Linked DNA regions of Macaca mulatta. The protein of the gene in region 4 interacts with the protein of the main gene of each other region in a pairwise test. Links are inferred from orthologs where the notes say so. Each region holds a gene or a part of one and is shown on either strand. Other genes may lie near its edges.

The links.
Region 1: the proteins of TOLLIP (region 4) and TOM1L1 interact in binary tests that used the Homo sapiens proteins (3 or more experiments, as listed by UniProt). The link is inferred for Macaca mulatta from reciprocal best matches to the Homo sapiens genes TOLLIP and TOM1L1.
Region 2: the proteins of TOLLIP (region 4) and TOM1L2 interact in binary tests that used the Homo sapiens proteins (3 or more experiments, as listed by UniProt). The link is inferred for Macaca mulatta from reciprocal best matches to the Homo sapiens genes TOLLIP and TOM1L2.
Region 3: the proteins of TOLLIP (region 4) and ODAM interact in a two-hybrid assay, tested with the Homo sapiens proteins (2 studies listed by BioGRID and IntAct). The two-hybrid records come from large-scale screens. The link is inferred for Macaca mulatta from reciprocal best matches to the Homo sapiens genes TOLLIP and ODAM.

Annotation. Positions count from the first base shown.
Region 1 is NC_133421.1:55,064,556-55,068,751, forward strand, and holds the start of TOM1L1 (TOM1-like protein 1), read right to left. Parts: upstream 2,801-4,196; 5' UTR 2,761-2,800; coding exon 2,703-2,760; intron 1-2,702. UniProt on the Homo sapiens protein: Probable adapter protein involved in signaling pathways. Interacts with the SH2 and SH3 domains of various signaling proteins when it is phosphorylated. May promote FYN activation, possibly by disrupting intramolecular SH3-dependent interactions.
Region 2 is NC_133421.1:19,534,498-19,538,544, forward strand, and holds the start of TOM1L2 (TOM1-like protein 2), read right to left. Parts: upstream 2,801-4,047; 5' UTR 2,800-2,800; coding exon 2,748-2,799; intron 1-2,747. UniProt on the Homo sapiens protein: Acts as a MYO6/Myosin VI adapter protein that targets myosin VI to endocytic structures. May also play a role in recruiting clathrin to endosomes. May regulate growth factor-induced mitogenic signaling.
Region 3 is NC_133410.1:63,701,690-63,705,822, forward strand, and holds the start of ODAM (odontogenic ameloblast-associated protein), read right to left. Parts: upstream 2,801-4,133; 5' UTR 2,766-2,800; coding exon 2,730-2,765; intron 2,010-2,729; exon of another isoform or gene 2,006-2,009; coding exon 1,940-2,005; intron 1,843-1,939; coding exon 1,801-1,842; intron 1,260-1,800; coding exon 1,212-1,259; intron 606-1,211; coding exon 372-605; intron 1-371. UniProt on the Homo sapiens protein: Tooth-associated epithelia protein that probably plays a role in odontogenesis, the complex process that results in the initiation and generation of the tooth. May be incorporated in the enamel matrix at the end of mineralization process.
Region 4 is NC_133419.1:1,219,000-1,222,499, reverse strand, and holds part of TOLLIP (toll-interacting protein), read right to left. Parts: intron 1,595-3,500; coding exon 1,380-1,594; 3' UTR 1-1,379. UniProt on the Homo sapiens protein: Component of the signaling pathway of IL-1 and Toll-like receptors. Inhibits cell activation by microbial products. Recruits IRAK1 to the IL-1 receptor complex. Inhibits IRAK1 phosphorylation and kinase activity.

The sequences.
Region 1 (4,196 bases), on a different chromosome or scaffold from region 4:
CTGAAATAATCTGCCTAGGCTGCACTAGCAAGTGTCATTAAGTGTATATTGCCAAAGGGCAAAGTGATTTTTTTTGGAACCGTTCTCAGTAATTCAGGAATCAATCAGAACCCAAGTTCAGAGTGCTGTTGCAGCAACAGTAATGAGTGATCTATTAATAAAGACTGCAAGCACAATACCTGGCCACAGGCCCAGGCCAGGCCAGCTAAATCTCCACCTGCCTGGCTTTCAGACAAGGGAACTAGGGCTTAGTGAGCAGCTACCTACAAGGTGAACTGCATAGTGCTACGTATTTTATCATATGCAATCTCATTTAACCCACTGTTAGAGATGATGAGACAGAAGTTGAGAGAGGTTAGGAAATTACCAAAGTCATACAGTCAGTATGAAGTAGAATTGGCATTCAAATCTACGTTGTTTGGTCTCACTGTTTGTTTTTAAAAATAATTTATTCTCTGGGGGGACAGGAGGAAAGAATTTTTAAAGGAGAGAAGTAATCCGTTGGTCTTAGGAGCCAAAATATTGGCATAACTCCAAATAATAGTAACATATTTATTCTCCTATCATCTTAATCTCACGATTCCTTCTAATTTTACCAATTATTATAACTTCAACCAATACTTGCAAAGACACTGCTTATCTCGACTACGTAAAAACTTCCATTGCATACACTTTTACTATCAGTGTTAATTGTTTCAAACTGGCACTGAGTAACTATCCAAACTAATAATAACAAGCATCTAAACTAACCACAGCTGCACCAGGCTGACCAGAATGTTTCTGCACTTGGAACCCTATCATTAGATAATCAGGCAATACAAGATGTTACCTGGAAAGGGTAATGGAACACTCAACATGAATGCGCTAACATCTTCCTAAGAGAAGGATAAGATCCCTAAGAATGAAAACACGGGGTTCTGGGGGAAATGGAGAAAAAACCAAAAAGGATAGAGAAGGGAAAGAAAGAATAAGGACTTGTTTCGGGGAACCCCAAAGTTTGGCTTGCTTTCAATCAAGGAAAAGAACCACTTGAGGCCGGGTGCGGTGGCTCACGCCTGTAATCCCAATCACTTTGGGAGGCCGAGGCGGGTGGATCACCTGAGGTCAGGAGGTCGAGACCAGCCCGGTCAGTATGGTGAAACTCCATCTCTACTAAAAATACAAAAATTAGCTGGGCGTGGTGACGTGCACCTGTAGTCCCAGCTACTCGGGAGGCTGAGAAAGGAGAATTGCTTGAACCCGGGAGGCGGATGTTGCAGTGAGCCGAGAGCTACTGCACTCTAGCCTGGGTGACAGAGCGACACTCAAAAAAAAGAAAAAAAAAAAAAAAAAGCAAAAAACAAAAAACAAACAAAACTTGAATTTGGCACCAAATGGACAAAGCTTATCTTCCTAGAAAACTCCCATTCACCCTTCAAAAGCCACAGTAGAATTCATTTCTCCCTTCCGGTAAGTTTTGTGTGTTTTGCATTTTCTTGCATTGCAAAGGTGCGGCACAAAACCGTGCGGTCTTCCCTACAAGAAAATGAGTTCCCTCAGGTTTGAGATCACGTCTCACCTTGGCCTTACCAGTGCCTGATCCAGGTCCAGACACATAGCTGACAGTTAGTCCATGTTTACAGAATTAAAAAATTAAGCAGATGAATTGCTGAAGTTTCTTTTGCCTATGAAGATACAGTCGGAACCCATTTCTGCTCAGGGTTCATTCTAATATCCAACAAAGCACAGCCATCAAGGGAAAGCATCTCCTCAATGGTAGCTACTCTGACCATTTTATAAGGATGTGTAAACTAAGGTTCTGTTTAAGTGGTGTGTTCGGTGTCACGGCAGTTAGTAGAGCTGTGAGCTAAATTTTCCAAATCTCGGCCTCTTTACTACAACTACTAGGTTCTCAAGATTTCATCACCCCACTAAGTTCCTGACATCATCACACTTTGCCTGGCATTAATATGCACTCGTGCCACACCCAATTCCCAAGGGAGGAATCAGGGAAAAGAGGGAGCAGTGAGCTGGTGCTTGTAAGAGTCCAATCACTGGCTTCTACATACATCATGCAAGGTACATTCGGAGGAGAGAGAAATCTTTTAGGTGGATGCCGGTGTAGTCCCTAGTGGCCTGCAAGAGACCTCCGTGCCCCCAGATGGCTCCTCTGTTCCCCTCCTCTTCACTCCAATGCCAAGCATTTTCATTATCTTTGTTTACCCAGAAAAGCAATCCAGGTTGTATAAGCTTGGCACTATTGAAAACTGGTTTGGGGAGACCTGCCCCTCACAGTAAGGTCACATCACTTAGTCTCCCAGAGCCTCCTCTTCTGTAAAACGGGCATAACAATACCGTGCCCTAGAGAGTGTGCGTTTAGGAATAACTTTCCCCTGGCCGACAAGTTTCTGGTGTCTCCTTGTGGAGGCCCAAATACTCCATGCCTGACTCCCGCGGTTCACCTGTTTGGTTCCACTCCCCAGGAGACATCGAAAGGAAGGTACATTTTTGAGGACTGCGGGTTCTAGAGTGAGTTGGCCAAGAAGGAAACGGACGAAAGGGGGCCGGGTGGAATGCGGGTGCCCTGGGAAAGTTGCTGGGGGAGGGGAAGGATTTTCTCCAAGTTGGACTAACTCCGTCCTCTGCAGGCCGAGAATGGATCAAGCAGGAAAGGATCCCACGGTCCCCTGCCTGCCTGGGCGTCTCTCCCCGCGCCTCCTTACCTATGAGGTGGCCCACGGAGGTCGCGTAGGGATCCCGGTGACTCTTGCCAAACGCCATGGTAGCTCCAGAGGGCCGGGCCCAGGAAATCCGCCTCCACCGCTCTCTGGCTCCCGACTCCACCCGCTCGGTACCCTTGGCTCCTCCTCTTCGCCCGAGCGCTTCCCTGGCTCTGGCGGAGGCGGTGCGTTGTGCGCTGCCGCTGCGGGGCGCGGGTACCGAGCGTGAGGAGCGGGGCGCGGGGCAGGGACGCTAGGGCGGGGCTTCGGGACGCCCCGCGCACCTGCAGCGCGCCCTGCGGGACCGGCAAGGAGGCGTCGCTGCCCGCTGCAGGTGGTACAGGCGGGCAGCGGTGGGCGTATGGAGCCTGCGAGAGTGGCGCGGCCGCCCGCTCGGATCCCAGGTGGGCTTTTCGCCCCGCGCAGGAGGAGCAGGAAGCCCAAGATCTCCAGCTTGGGAAGTAGAGACCCAGGCTTTGATCCCGCCGCTTGCTAGGCAGATTGTCACTCTTCTCTGCGCCTCTTTGGCTGCCCTTGGTAGACCAAAGATAATAAGGGGTTAATAACACAAATTCAGAATTGTGAGAATTAAGGGAAGGACGTAAACCGATTAGGTCGGTGTCTGGTACCCACAAAATAGTTAACCACTGAATAAATTGAATAACTAGAAATGTTTACCCTCGACCTGCCTTCGCCCTACAGATGCGGGAGGGGAGGTGTGCGCCCTGCCCTTTGAAGCTGTAGGTAATGTCTAGGAGGAAGGATTGGGTTCGAAGTTAGGGCTTCCCAGGAGCAGGCCCTCTTTGTGTCTCTCCTGTTTCCTCGAGGGACCACAGGGCGCCGCCACGCAAGCTCTTGTTTTCTAACCCCACTTTCTGGGAGCCGTGTTTTCCAGCCTGATTCTAAAAATGGGGGAGGGGCTTTCCGTTTCCTCTGGCAAGGAGGATGCTTGGTTTTAGGCCTGAGTTTGAGAAGCCCAACACCTTTCCAGCTGCCCTTTGGGAACCAGAATTTATTTCTTATTCCTTTGCATTCAATTAACATTGAATTGGCGATGTTAACAATCTCCAGCTGCCAGAGAGTGATGCGTCCCCAGGCCATGTCAGATAGCCATAGATGAGCTCCTGGTGCTTGTAGATCCTGTTTCCTATAGTCTAACTGGCACCCATTTCAAGTTTGTTTTTTAGCCCTGGATATGGTGACTAGGGAGACGAAGGGGACCTGTTTTGACTTATGTCCGTGGTCTTGTGAATTTTAATATAGAGATCAAAACCAATTGCCATGCACTCCAAGAGGCTAACATTTAATTATTTATCTCGAACTCAATTATTTATAGTTTTTCTTGACCGAAGTGAGCCAAAACCTGGGATTCTAAAATCTGGAATGAAATATTCTTGTTGTGATGATATTTCTCATAATGGGATTTGTCTCATCTGTAGCTAATATTCTCCACCTGCCTATTCAGGGCGAGTAACTATTTCAGATGGTGCCATTTAT
Region 2 (4,047 bases), on a different chromosome or scaffold from region 4:
CAGTACAGAATATACATTAGAACCTCATTCTGTCCATTAATCATTTACCTGAACTGAAATGACCTATTGGCTACCTGGCAATGGGGAGCCATCATCATCTTTACAGTCAAGCATCTTATGAGCAATGGTGAACCCTGGGGCCTGGTAGGGTATTGTCCTTCACAGGTCACAGAAGGGCCAGCTGTTTCACACACCCTCTCCGGATAGAAAATTCAACCCTAACTTAAGTATCCTGTTATTAACAGTGACAGTTTCAATTTACTGAGCTTCTACTATGTTCCAGATACTATGCTAAGTGTTTTCATACATTATCTCATTTAAACTACATCACTCTGTGAATATGAATCTCTCTCTCTCTCTCTCTCTCTCTCTCTCTCTCTCTCAGAAGACTGACAAACTAAACCTCAGAAAGGCAACACAATCTTCTGGGGTCACACAGCCAAGAAATGGGCCAGGTCAAAATTCAACTCAGGTCTTCCTAACAGAAATAACACGCTCTTTCCACTTGCTATATATCCCTACATCCCTTATATTTGTTTTTGGTTTTTTTTGTTGTTGTTGTTTGCTTTTTTGAGATGGAGTCTCACTCTGTTGCCCAGGCTGGAGTGCAGTGGCACAATCTCAGCTCACTGCAACCTCTGCCTCCCAGGTTCAAGCAATTCTCCTGCCTCAGCCTCCTGAGTAGCTGGGACTACAGGTGCATGCCACCACGCCTGGCTAATTTTTTTTTTTTTTTTTTTTTTTTGTATTTTTAGTAGAGATAGGGTTTCACTGTATTACACCAGAATGGTCTCCATCTCCTGACCTCATGATCCGCCCGCCTTGGCCTCCCAAAGTGCTGAGATTACAGGCATGAGCCACCGTGCCCGGTCATACTTGTATTTTAAATCCCCTTTAACTTCTACCCCTCATCTACGACCTTGTCATTTTAAAGGTGTAGAGCTTCCTATTTTAAAGAGGACAGAAGAGAAAATAATTCCCCCAAGTGTTCTGGCTCCCTCCATTAACTGGCTGGAAATTAGTTTTTGGAGTGTGGCTGCCACGCAAGAGAACCTGAAGAGAGTGAGAAAGGCCACGAGGAAGAAGTTAGGAAGTGAAAATTCAGAGACTCTCCAGTGGGCAGCAAGGGACAAAATGTCAAAAAGGTGGGAAAACACTCTTTTGGGGTCCATCATGCATTAAAAAAGATACTATGCCAGAAAGTAAAGAAAGGCTCCAAAATGCTAATTAGCTAACAGGAGAGACCTCAATAAGTTCCCAGGACCCACTAAAGGCTGGAAAGTAAGCTAGAATTTCATAAGCAAAGCAGAAAATAAACAAATCACTACTGCCAAAATCAGGCCCATAAGAACACCAAAGATCCTGGCTCATAAAAGATGTTTTACCAGTCCTTCAACCAACCAGGAGGAACCCAGTCTTCAAACAAATTAATCAGCATTCTTGACTGATCAAGTGGCATAAGCCACTGCCTTGGGTGAAAAGGCAAGTTGCTTTTTTATTAAGGAAGTCCCATATGGTGGCCATTTCAGTATTCCTTTACCTACACTTTGGGCTTTCCTCATCCAGGATTCTGGCCATCTCTGGTGTCCCCAGGTGTCCACATCCCCTCTGTAGGATTAACAGATAATCCTGAATAACATTCTCTCTACATTGCCAACAAAAGATTTCAGCTTTGGTAAATATAATATGAGGTAGGGGAGGGAGCAACAGTCAAAGTGCAGAGTACTACAAAGAATATCAAAACTTGAGAAGTTTAAGGGACCTACCACATCTCATCTCCAAACACTTTGACAGGGGAACTTCAAATCAGAAAGGGCACAAGGTCATACGAAGTCACTGGCAAAACCACTGCTAGAGTCTGGGCTTCCATAATTCCCAGACCAGGGCTCTTGTCATTAAATAACACAGCCTCCCTTCTTTCCTGGGAGGCACTGCAGGCATGCCATCCCCTTGCCAAGATAATCACCCTCCAAGAGCCCCTCCTCCCATCCCAGTCCCTCCTACAGCCCAGCTGAGTTGCAGCTCAAATTAGCAAGTCCCGGAGCAGGGGGCATTTCTGGGAGGGTGCCCAGTCTGATGGTTGCTGGTACCGAAGAGGAGGGACAAAGATGGAGAAGAAGGTGACATCCCACAAAGGGTCTGGGAGAACTAGGTCCTTGGGGCAGTGGCAGCGAGCTTGCTGGGCTGGATAAAGACACATGCAGTGGCATCTCCCAAAGGGCATTGGGGAAGCAGACCAGCAGTTGGTACCACCTCTAGAAGCAAAAGGAAGGGCTGAGTCCTGATGGGCAGGGAAGCCTGGGGCATCTCCGAGTTCAAGTTGGGCCTCGGGGTGCCTCCTGGCAGAGTGGCACTGGCGCCTGTCAGGTGGCACCAGTGCCCGGGAGGAGGCCCCAGGACACAGATGCCCTGCCTGCCCGTGGGATAGCACCGGCACCCGGCGGAGGCTCAGTCCGCCCGTGAGGTTGCACCGGCGCCCGGCGAAGGCCCGACGACCAGGATGCCCAGCCCGTCTGTGAGGTGGCACGGGCGCCCAGCAGAGGCCCAGCCCGCCCGTGAGGTGGCACCGGCGCCCAGTGAAGGCCCGACGACCAGGATGCCCAGCCCGCTCGTGGGGTGGCACCCGCGCCTGGCGGAGGCCCAGCCCGCTCGTGAAGTGGCACCGGCGCCCAGAGGAGGCCCGCGGTCCTCACCACCCGGATCAGCTGCCGCGGTCGCCCAGCCTCCCGCCCCACACGCGGCCTTACCGAGGCACTGCCCCACCGGGGTGCTGAACGGGTTCCCCAGGAGGAACTCCATCTTGGGTGGACAACACGCAGCGGCCCGGGCCCCCTGTCTGCCACCGAGGTCTCAGCGGTAACCCGCCGGACTCCCGTCCTGACTGACACTTGCCCCCTCCCCACCCTCTGGAACGCCGAGCGCCGGGACCTTGGCCCCGCCCCCTTACCGCGTCTCTATTGGGGGACACCTACAAAGCCCGCCTCCGATTGGCCGTTACACCTCCGTCAGCAAAGCCCCCACCCACCCCGCAGCGTCCGATTGGGCCGAGGAGCGAGGTAGGTCACCGCAGTCTCTGTCAGCCGTGGTGGCACCTCCCCTGGCCCGCCCCCCGAAGAGGAAGTTGCGCATTTTGATTCCTCAGAATATTGGTCAATCTAAAGGATTCTTACTATTATTGGACAAAAGACGAGTCAATCACTCAAATAGCAGGACGGAACAGAGGTGAATCTAGGAATATCCCCGCCCATAGAAAGTGCTGATTGGAGAAACATTTGTTTTCTCTACGGCTGGTTGGTGTTAGGAGTGTTTCTCCACCAGGAGATGTGGTCACGTGATCTGTCAACTTTCACCCAGGATGTCTCCCTCCTGACTTCCCGTTAGCAACCAAGTCGCGGCGCTTGGTTCCCCAGCAACCGGGAGACGCGTCAGCTGCGTGGAACCAGCGGAGTTCCCAGCGCTTGAGAAGGTGAGACCTGGGAGCTGAGGCTCAGGGAGGACTCGCAGGGACAGACAGCGCCCGACTTAACTCTTTCCTGTGACCCTTTTCTCGGAGAACGCCGTCCCGGCCCCTCTCATAAAATGAGCACGTAGGTCCTCTCCCAGCCACTTTACAGTCGTGCTGACACAGCCAAGACCCTTTAGTCCTGGGCTTATCAAGCTTTTGAATAAAAAAGAAATACTAAGGGAGCATTTCCCGAGGGAGCAGGGCTAGAATCGACTTTTAAGGGGTTCCGTCTTCCAGCCTCCTTTCATAAAAGAGAGGTACCCTGTCCACTGATAACTTTTCCCAGAATTTAGCCATCATATCTGACCTCATAACTGTCAAATGATTTCATCTTGGTACTGTATAAACTGCTTTGGATGTGAATACGGATACTCAGGTTCTGCATCTGTCTCTGTCAGTAATTCATTGTATGACTTTGGACAAGTTCCTTTCCCTCCCTGGAGCCTCAGATTCCCTAGCTGGAAAATAAGGGCATTAGGATTTCCTTTTTTATAGCCTCCGGAGCTTACATGTACTTAAATAATGTTTGTGCACTGAGCAAA
Region 3 (4,133 bases), on a different chromosome or scaffold from region 4:
TAAAATCTCTGAGCTGCTTTTCATAGAGCTAGTCATATAAATTTATCATTTGTTAGCAAGTTTCCACGACAAAACGTCATGTGTTACATGTGCTGTCAGCAACATAAACTGCCTTTTATTGAAGTTTTCCTATCTTATCCTAGACTTGTTTTTAACTTTTTTGGTTTGTTGCTGTATCCTAGAGTAGCTGATTTAAATATTTTTCATCTTAGAAATCAGATAAAAAAGAACTTACAGTGATGGTAGAAACATATTATGAGAAAAAATATTGTTCAAAAACCCCTGCCTATTTCAAAGCTGATTCATATTCATTGTCAAATTCAACATGCAGTTCTCTCTCCTCAGAACAAAATCAGAGAGGCCTGACTTACGTGATTGGGGCCTGGTTGTGTCTGAGGCGGTGTTTGAGCCTGTGAGGGGTCAACTTGGCCTGCCTGGGCTCCTTGGGCAAAACTGGCCTGTCCTGGGAAGGGTATCTGATTTGGGAACAGTCCGGCAAACTGGTCTAGAGCTGATAAAGAGAATTGGGCGAGTCCTGGAATTTGAGCCTGCTGCTGCTGTTGTAAAACTCCAGAGAAAGGTGGAATCCATGAATTAAGTGGGCCCTAAAAAGACACAAAGGCAAGAAAGCATGTTCCCTTCATGCCAAAAAGAATTTAAAGGTCAGTCCTGAGCAAGAAAGAGACAAAATACAAACAATTTCTATACCTCCGATGTTGCAATATAAAAAAGGACAGGATCTTGATTCATTTTGAACCAAACAAATAATGTGAAGCAAATGCTAAATTCCCGACGGCCATGAGAAATATGGGGCAGGACAAGGTTGATAAAAGAGCACAACATCTGCATATGCCAGACTTGTTTTAAACCTTGTGTATTTTCCCCTACCTTAACCCTAAGCCCCCACAACCTGCTGTTACTGGTTAACTGGGCATGACTTTGTGTGAAATAATTACTTTTAACTATCTCATAGTTGTGAGAATTAGTGCCTGGCATATACCAAGTTCTCAATAAATAAGTGTTAATCAAATTACAGTTTTTACTTTAACCTTCAAACAAATGGTCACTAGAATATATGAGACAAATTCATAACATTAAAAATTGAGATTTCAGAAATAGGATCAGGAAACATTTTGTTTTCATACAAAATAACATAAGAAATGAGCAATAGAAAAATGTTCCCCATAAAGTAATTATTGAAATGGAGGTACCTGAAGTCGTAGTGGCAAAAGTTGACCATTATTAAGATTAAGAAGTAGCTAGAAAAGGAAAAATAATATGAAATCAAGATTACTACACACTAAAATGAGTAAGAACAATGTTTACTATAAATATAGCACAAGTCACAGCTGGTTGCTCAATTTCTTGTTAGAAATGAGACATTTTCTCACTAGGCTTACATTGAATTACAGTGATTAGAAGTTAGATTTAAAACAAGGTTTGGATTTAGCAACCTCTCCCCTGTTGGGTCTGAGATTGCACAATGTTAGCTCATTCCAGTGGTTTAGTCATTTTATGCTTTTAAACACCTATATACACCTGTATTAGGTGTTATTAGAACAAAAAGATATAAACAATATTGTATGTGCCTTTGGAGAATTAACAATCAAGCAAGGGAAGTAGAATAATATTTTAGAGGTAACCTATTATACAATCAAACATGAACATTAGAAATGTGCTTGGATATACATAAAAGCTAGTGGAGAGGAACACAGTATAAACCAAATGACGACATTTATCTCTTCCCACTTGATTTCCATTAAAAAGAAAGGAGGAGATTGTTTAACTATTTAAACTAACCTCATTGCTATTGCTGGCAGACATAAGACGCTGTGGGATAAGCTAAAAGTAAAAATGAAAAAGAAATCAGAAATAGTAAAAAGAAGGGATTGTTGAAGGTTTAACACAATGAGATCAGTAGTGCCATAAAATCACTTACTGGGGCTGACAATGTGGCTCCCAGGAATCCAAGAAGAATTATAATTTTCATTTTTGTGTGATATATCTAGAAAATAAGTTGTGATCTTTAGCTTTATAAAGACTTTACTTAAAATTCATGACAAAATAATTAGTATTGTTCAATCAAAGGAATAGTTGGGTGAATTCTATAGTATTTACTTACATTTTGGAATTTAAAATTTAAAAAGTTATATTTGTAAATTTCTACAATATAACTATTTTCTCTCAGACAAGCTGTTTATAAAAAACAAAATTGTTTGCTTGTCCTTTTAGCTTGAACAAAAAACTCATTTGGAGACATATGATGTGGTTGAATGCATTAACGAACAAGATGATCTCCTGGTGCTGCCCTACAAGGAGAGGAGCAGGCCCTTCAGACCATGGGAGGTCATGACTAGGGCTAACCAACTAGGGACTTATTATTATAACAACTTTAATGTCTATGTTGAAAGTACTTCAATAGAGATTTGACAATACCAGTCCAAAACCAGATAATTTCCACTTAGTAGTCTAAGAATAACATATTAGAACTAAGCAACTGAGTCAATGTTTTTGTAATTTACGGAAATAGAGTATAAAATTAAAGTGTGATGTTGATTTATGGTGTAACCTGTTTAAGTATATTTCTCTTATCCTCTAGATGTGAAACTTTCTTCCCTGGTTCAAATCATTGACCTAATCAAGCATTTAGGGTGAACTTGATAATCTATCCTGCAGAGTTCACTGATTTTGGTTCTTCAAATTATAAAAGCAAAGATTTGATATCTTACCTTACTCCTGGACCTATAAAGAAAAATCTGAACCATGCAAGATCTGTGTTCTTTTCCTCTCTCAGCTCTGCTGCTTAGTGCTTCTCTTAAATTTTAAAACTCATCTTTAGAAAAAAAGGACCAATCATTGTTCAAAAGGACCAGTGATTCAGTGGGTTTCAGACAATGGCTTAGCTAATAACCTCTTTCCTAATCATTTAGGTGGTATATGGATTCCCACACTTTCAGTAATGTTATTAAATTATCCCCTGAGAAATGTTTTCCTGTGATCATTTCTGGCTTCTGGTTTGGTTATGAGTAACTCTCCTAGGATAACTCTCCTAGAATAATTCTATTCTACTCTTTCTTTTATAATTCTTAAACTGGATACCCTAATTGAATAAAACTGGATACCCTAACTGAATAAAAGTTAATATCTTTAGTAAAGTCAAGGATAAATGGGTGATCATTTTTACTTCAAGGGCGAAATACAGAATTGTTAGAAGACACAGGTCTGAAAAGCAAAACTCCTACTTAGCAGAATTCTTTGTTTCTTCAATGCTGGGCTAAGTAAATGTGGGTTAGTTTCCTTTAGGTTTGACCTTGAAAACATCAGTTGATCTCCCTCTACTTACTGAATGCAATCCATAAAAAATTGCTACATTTCCATGTGTCTACGAAATGTATTTGTATATGATCATGTTGCTTGAAATAAGTAATTTAATAAATATAAAGCATGATGTCCCACATTTTAAAAAAATAGTGGTGAATACGTTTTTATTTAAAAATGTTTTTGTTATATATTTTAATATTCAAAATACAAGTAAGTATTACTATTTCCACATTGTTATTATTTAAATTTCCTTCATAATGGGAGTTTTGCATTTATTTGTAGTTTTTTTTGTTGTTAATATTGACTCCCCTCTAATAGATAGTTCAGGATCACAAGTGTTTTGACAACGTATTATCAATTAATTTTTATTATGGAAGAGTTCTTTTTAGCTAACTTAATCTTGAGCAACTCATGATAATCTTATGCAGGAAAACAAAATTATTGCCTTTTAGTAAATTTGTCTTTTTTGGTAGGATGAGACAGAGTTTGCATGGTTCGTTAATACTAAAGTAATTATACTATTTGTTATTTATCTAGTGAAAAAAATCCAAGTACATAAATCATTAGTTAGAAAAAAAGGACATTTTTCTTTGGTAAAGAAGAAAACCCACCATTAGGACTTTCTATCTATTAGAATGTATTAAATTGAATTAAGTTTAGCCTAAAGCTGCCTTCATACGTATTTTAAGTTTGACCTAAAGCTTTCTTATACTAGTGAACTGTAACCTAATGATGTTAAACAAACTGTAACCTACTATTTTAACAAGAAGCTGAGTGACAGTCAATCACAAGCAGCCAACTGTTCAAATGTG
Region 4 (3,500 bases):
ACAGTATATTTGACAAAAACCACCCCCAGTCGGTGGCGGAAAGCAGTATTTTCTAGCTGACACTGAAACTTAACCTATTTTTTCGAGGGAGAAAAAGACTAAAATGTAAGCACTAACTTCCTCCTTCTGCATCTTCCACAGAAGACCACTGGGCCTTCTCTTTCTGTCCGTATCAGTGGGTTTCCGTCCGAAGGCTGGGGGCAGACACTTGAACCACAAACGGCAGACATGCGGGTGCGCACACAAGCGTCTCGATGGCATGCGGATTACGTAAAGTGCATCACTTGTGAGAAGTTTCTCAAATTCCTGACTTTCATAACCAGGTGTCACCTAAAATCTGTCCTGCAAACCAAGATGCTACACGCGGTGCCCAGGCAGGCAGAGGTGAGGCGAGCCTCCTGCCTCAGAAAGCTTTTACGCGGCCACATTCGCCAGGCTTCCCGAGCCCACACTGAACCTAGGTCCCGGGCACAGCAGCTGCCCAAGCTGTCGTCAGCAGTCGGCTGGCAGTGCTGCAACACCCTCTCAGAATCATGCACATGCCGCCTCTATCACCTCCCACCCCAGCCTTGCAAGGCCTGTTGAGAAGAGAAGCCCCCTGGGGGGACACCACGGAGCTGGCGTGAGCAGCAGGACAGACGGACGGCAACCTCCTGAGGGTGAAGGACCCGGCTTCAGATGCCCGCTGGCTGGCAATCAGGCAGAGCCCGGCCAACCGTGCCAGGCTCCCCTCCTCATGCCAGGTGTGGGTTCATCCTGCCTTCAGGCTGGAGTCTGTCACAAGGCTGGCTGGACAGTGGCCAGGTGAGCCAGGCCAGAGGCCGGCCCCACGCCATCCACAGGAAGCGGCTTGGCTCACCAGACCCAAGCCCTGGGCAGGGGCCAGGCTCACAGCAAAGCGCGTTAGGGCAAGGACGTGAGTTTTCGGCTGGGAAGTTCTAAAAAAACCCACAAATCAGTGTGAGGGATTGTGTGTGCCTTAATCAACAGCTCTATTCCAATTACGTCACATCACAAAATGCCATGAATGGAATCAGAAGGCGCTCCACCACCTCCAACACCCTGGCAGAAGCAGCTGCTCTCTACAGCAAGAACATTTTCCAGAACAGCATGAGAAGGGGAGACGCACGTCCTGGGGGCAGGAGAATGCGCCGAGACCTCCCAGCACAAGAGGCGAAGGGAGCCCCCGCCCCGTCCTGGGCCGCCAGGAACCGAAAACCCCCATGCACCCAGAGCGGGCGTGGGCGGGGCAGCCCAGACGTCCATGGGAGGGGCGACAGGGGCCGTGTCACGGGGATCTTGTTGGGACAGCATTCCTTGGGGAGCGCCCGGTCGGCGTGTCCGAAGAGCTGGGGTGACACGGCAGCGAGGCGGGGGCTCTACGGCTCCTCCCCCATCTGCAGCAGGGAGTTGATGGCGGCGTCCTTGTTCCCTCGCTGGGCTTCCAGCACCGAGCGGATCACCTCCTGGTCCATGTTGGGGAACATGTCCTGGATGGCTTTCAGGTCCTCCTCGCTACAGCGGGGCTGGGCGTTCACGGCGGCCGGGGGCAGGGCCACGGGCACCATGCCGGGGCTGCAGACGGCGGGCATCCCTGGAACCAAAGATCAAGTTTGGTAAAAACATCGGAAGGTTCCAGAAGTGCCACACTAGCTCCTGCTGAAAGAAGAAAACGACGCATCCCACCGGCCTTCCTCAGGGAGGGGCCCCCTCGGGTCTCAGCAAACACCAGTCCCGAAAGACACCCTGGAAATACAAACCCTCAAACAGCAACGCCAGGCACAGCCACGGGGAAGGCGGGGCAGGGGTCCCCAGGCACAGCCACGGGGAAGGCGGGGCAGGGGTCCCCAGGCACAGCCACGGGGAAGGCGGGGCAGGGGTCCCCAGGCACAGCCACGGGGAAGGCAGGGCAGGGGTCTCTGAGACGCATCCTTCACTAACTCATGTTCCTTCCACACAAAAATCAAAGCTTGATCTTTCAAATCTCACCCGAGCCTGTTTTCTAACTAGCAGGCTGGGGGGTGGTGGTTTGATCCCTTCAGAACTCGTGAATTTGCACCGCACACGCTTGTCTTCACTGACCAGAGGGCACACAGCATTCTCTTCATCTGGGGAACGGACTACACGAAATGTCACGCCCGCTGATCCGAACACTGCAGGGTCTGAGCCTCCTCCTTTATCAGGCATTCTACAAGATGCTTTTGCAGCTTGGCCAGTGTGTCACTGAACTGTGTGCTGGTTGAGCAGCCACCACAGGCACTGAAGACATCAGCAAAGCTGCAGCCGATGCCCAGAATGACAACCACACACACATACAAACTACACCAAAAAATGCTCACAAAACTCACGCAAGTCAGGCAGCAGGTGTGGTGCACGGGGACCCTCAGTGTACTGGGGCCACCGTCCAGGGTTCCTGGCATCACCACCCCACAGCTACGCAGGCCCCTCGCCCCGTGTCTCATGCGGGTGGACACACTGAGATGCAATCTATCAAGCAGGAGCTGCACAGTGGTTCAGCCACTGCAGCACACACACCCCAAAGGCACGGTGTGGCCGGACTTAAAGCTCGCCTCCCAGCCTGGTGGCCATTCCCTAAAACCACAAGCAGCCCTGAGCACAGGCAGCGTGTGCAGGGCTCAGCAACCAGCGAGGCACAGAGCTCCTCCTGCAGCAGCAGCTGGAGCAGGGCAAGGGTTCACCGCGCACCCGTTCGTTCACCTTTAAAAGCACGAACGATCTCCCAGCTAGGCTCACTGGAGCACTAGAGCCCCAATCTGAGGATAGGACTTTTGTTCCTTTCTACACTCGGAGGACCCTAAAGGCAACAGAAGCCATTTCAACTCTGGCCTGAACCAACGCCGGCAACAAGGACCTGCAGTGGTGGAAACGGAGCGGACGGGGCTGGCCACTGAGCCTCCAGTGCCAGCTGTAAAGACCGGGGCTCCTCAGAAAGGAAGGCCGCCGCTTCCCAGCTCCTTCCAGGCCAGGCCGACTCTTCCTCCACACCCACCCCTGCCTCCTCCGCTTCCCGGCTCTCTCTGGGCCAGGCCCACCTTTCCTCCATACCCACCCCTGCCTCCTCCGCTTCCCGGCTCTCTCTGGGCCAGGCCCACCTTTCCTCCACGCCCACGCCTGCCTCTTGCCCTGGCCAGCGGACACCTCACCTCACTGGGAAAGCATCATCCCCACACTGATCAGCCTTTCAGCAATGAGGGAAAATGAACCAAACCACAGCCAGGTGGGGACGTGGCCACCCTCACCACCCTTTCTTCTTCCTCAAACAAGACAAAGGCTCGGCCGCTACCTGTCCTGGAGGGACCCCGGGACCCCCGTGGCTTTCTGGGCGCCCCAGCCGGCAGGGGGGCAGGAGCTCAGCCATCACCTGTCCCTGCCCACACGGCTCCCCACAGCATGGCAACAGGAGGAATGGAGCTCGGCACTGCCACTCTCTCCAGCCTTTTCCAGTCTGACGGAGAAGGGACAGGAGGGGAGATCGCTGC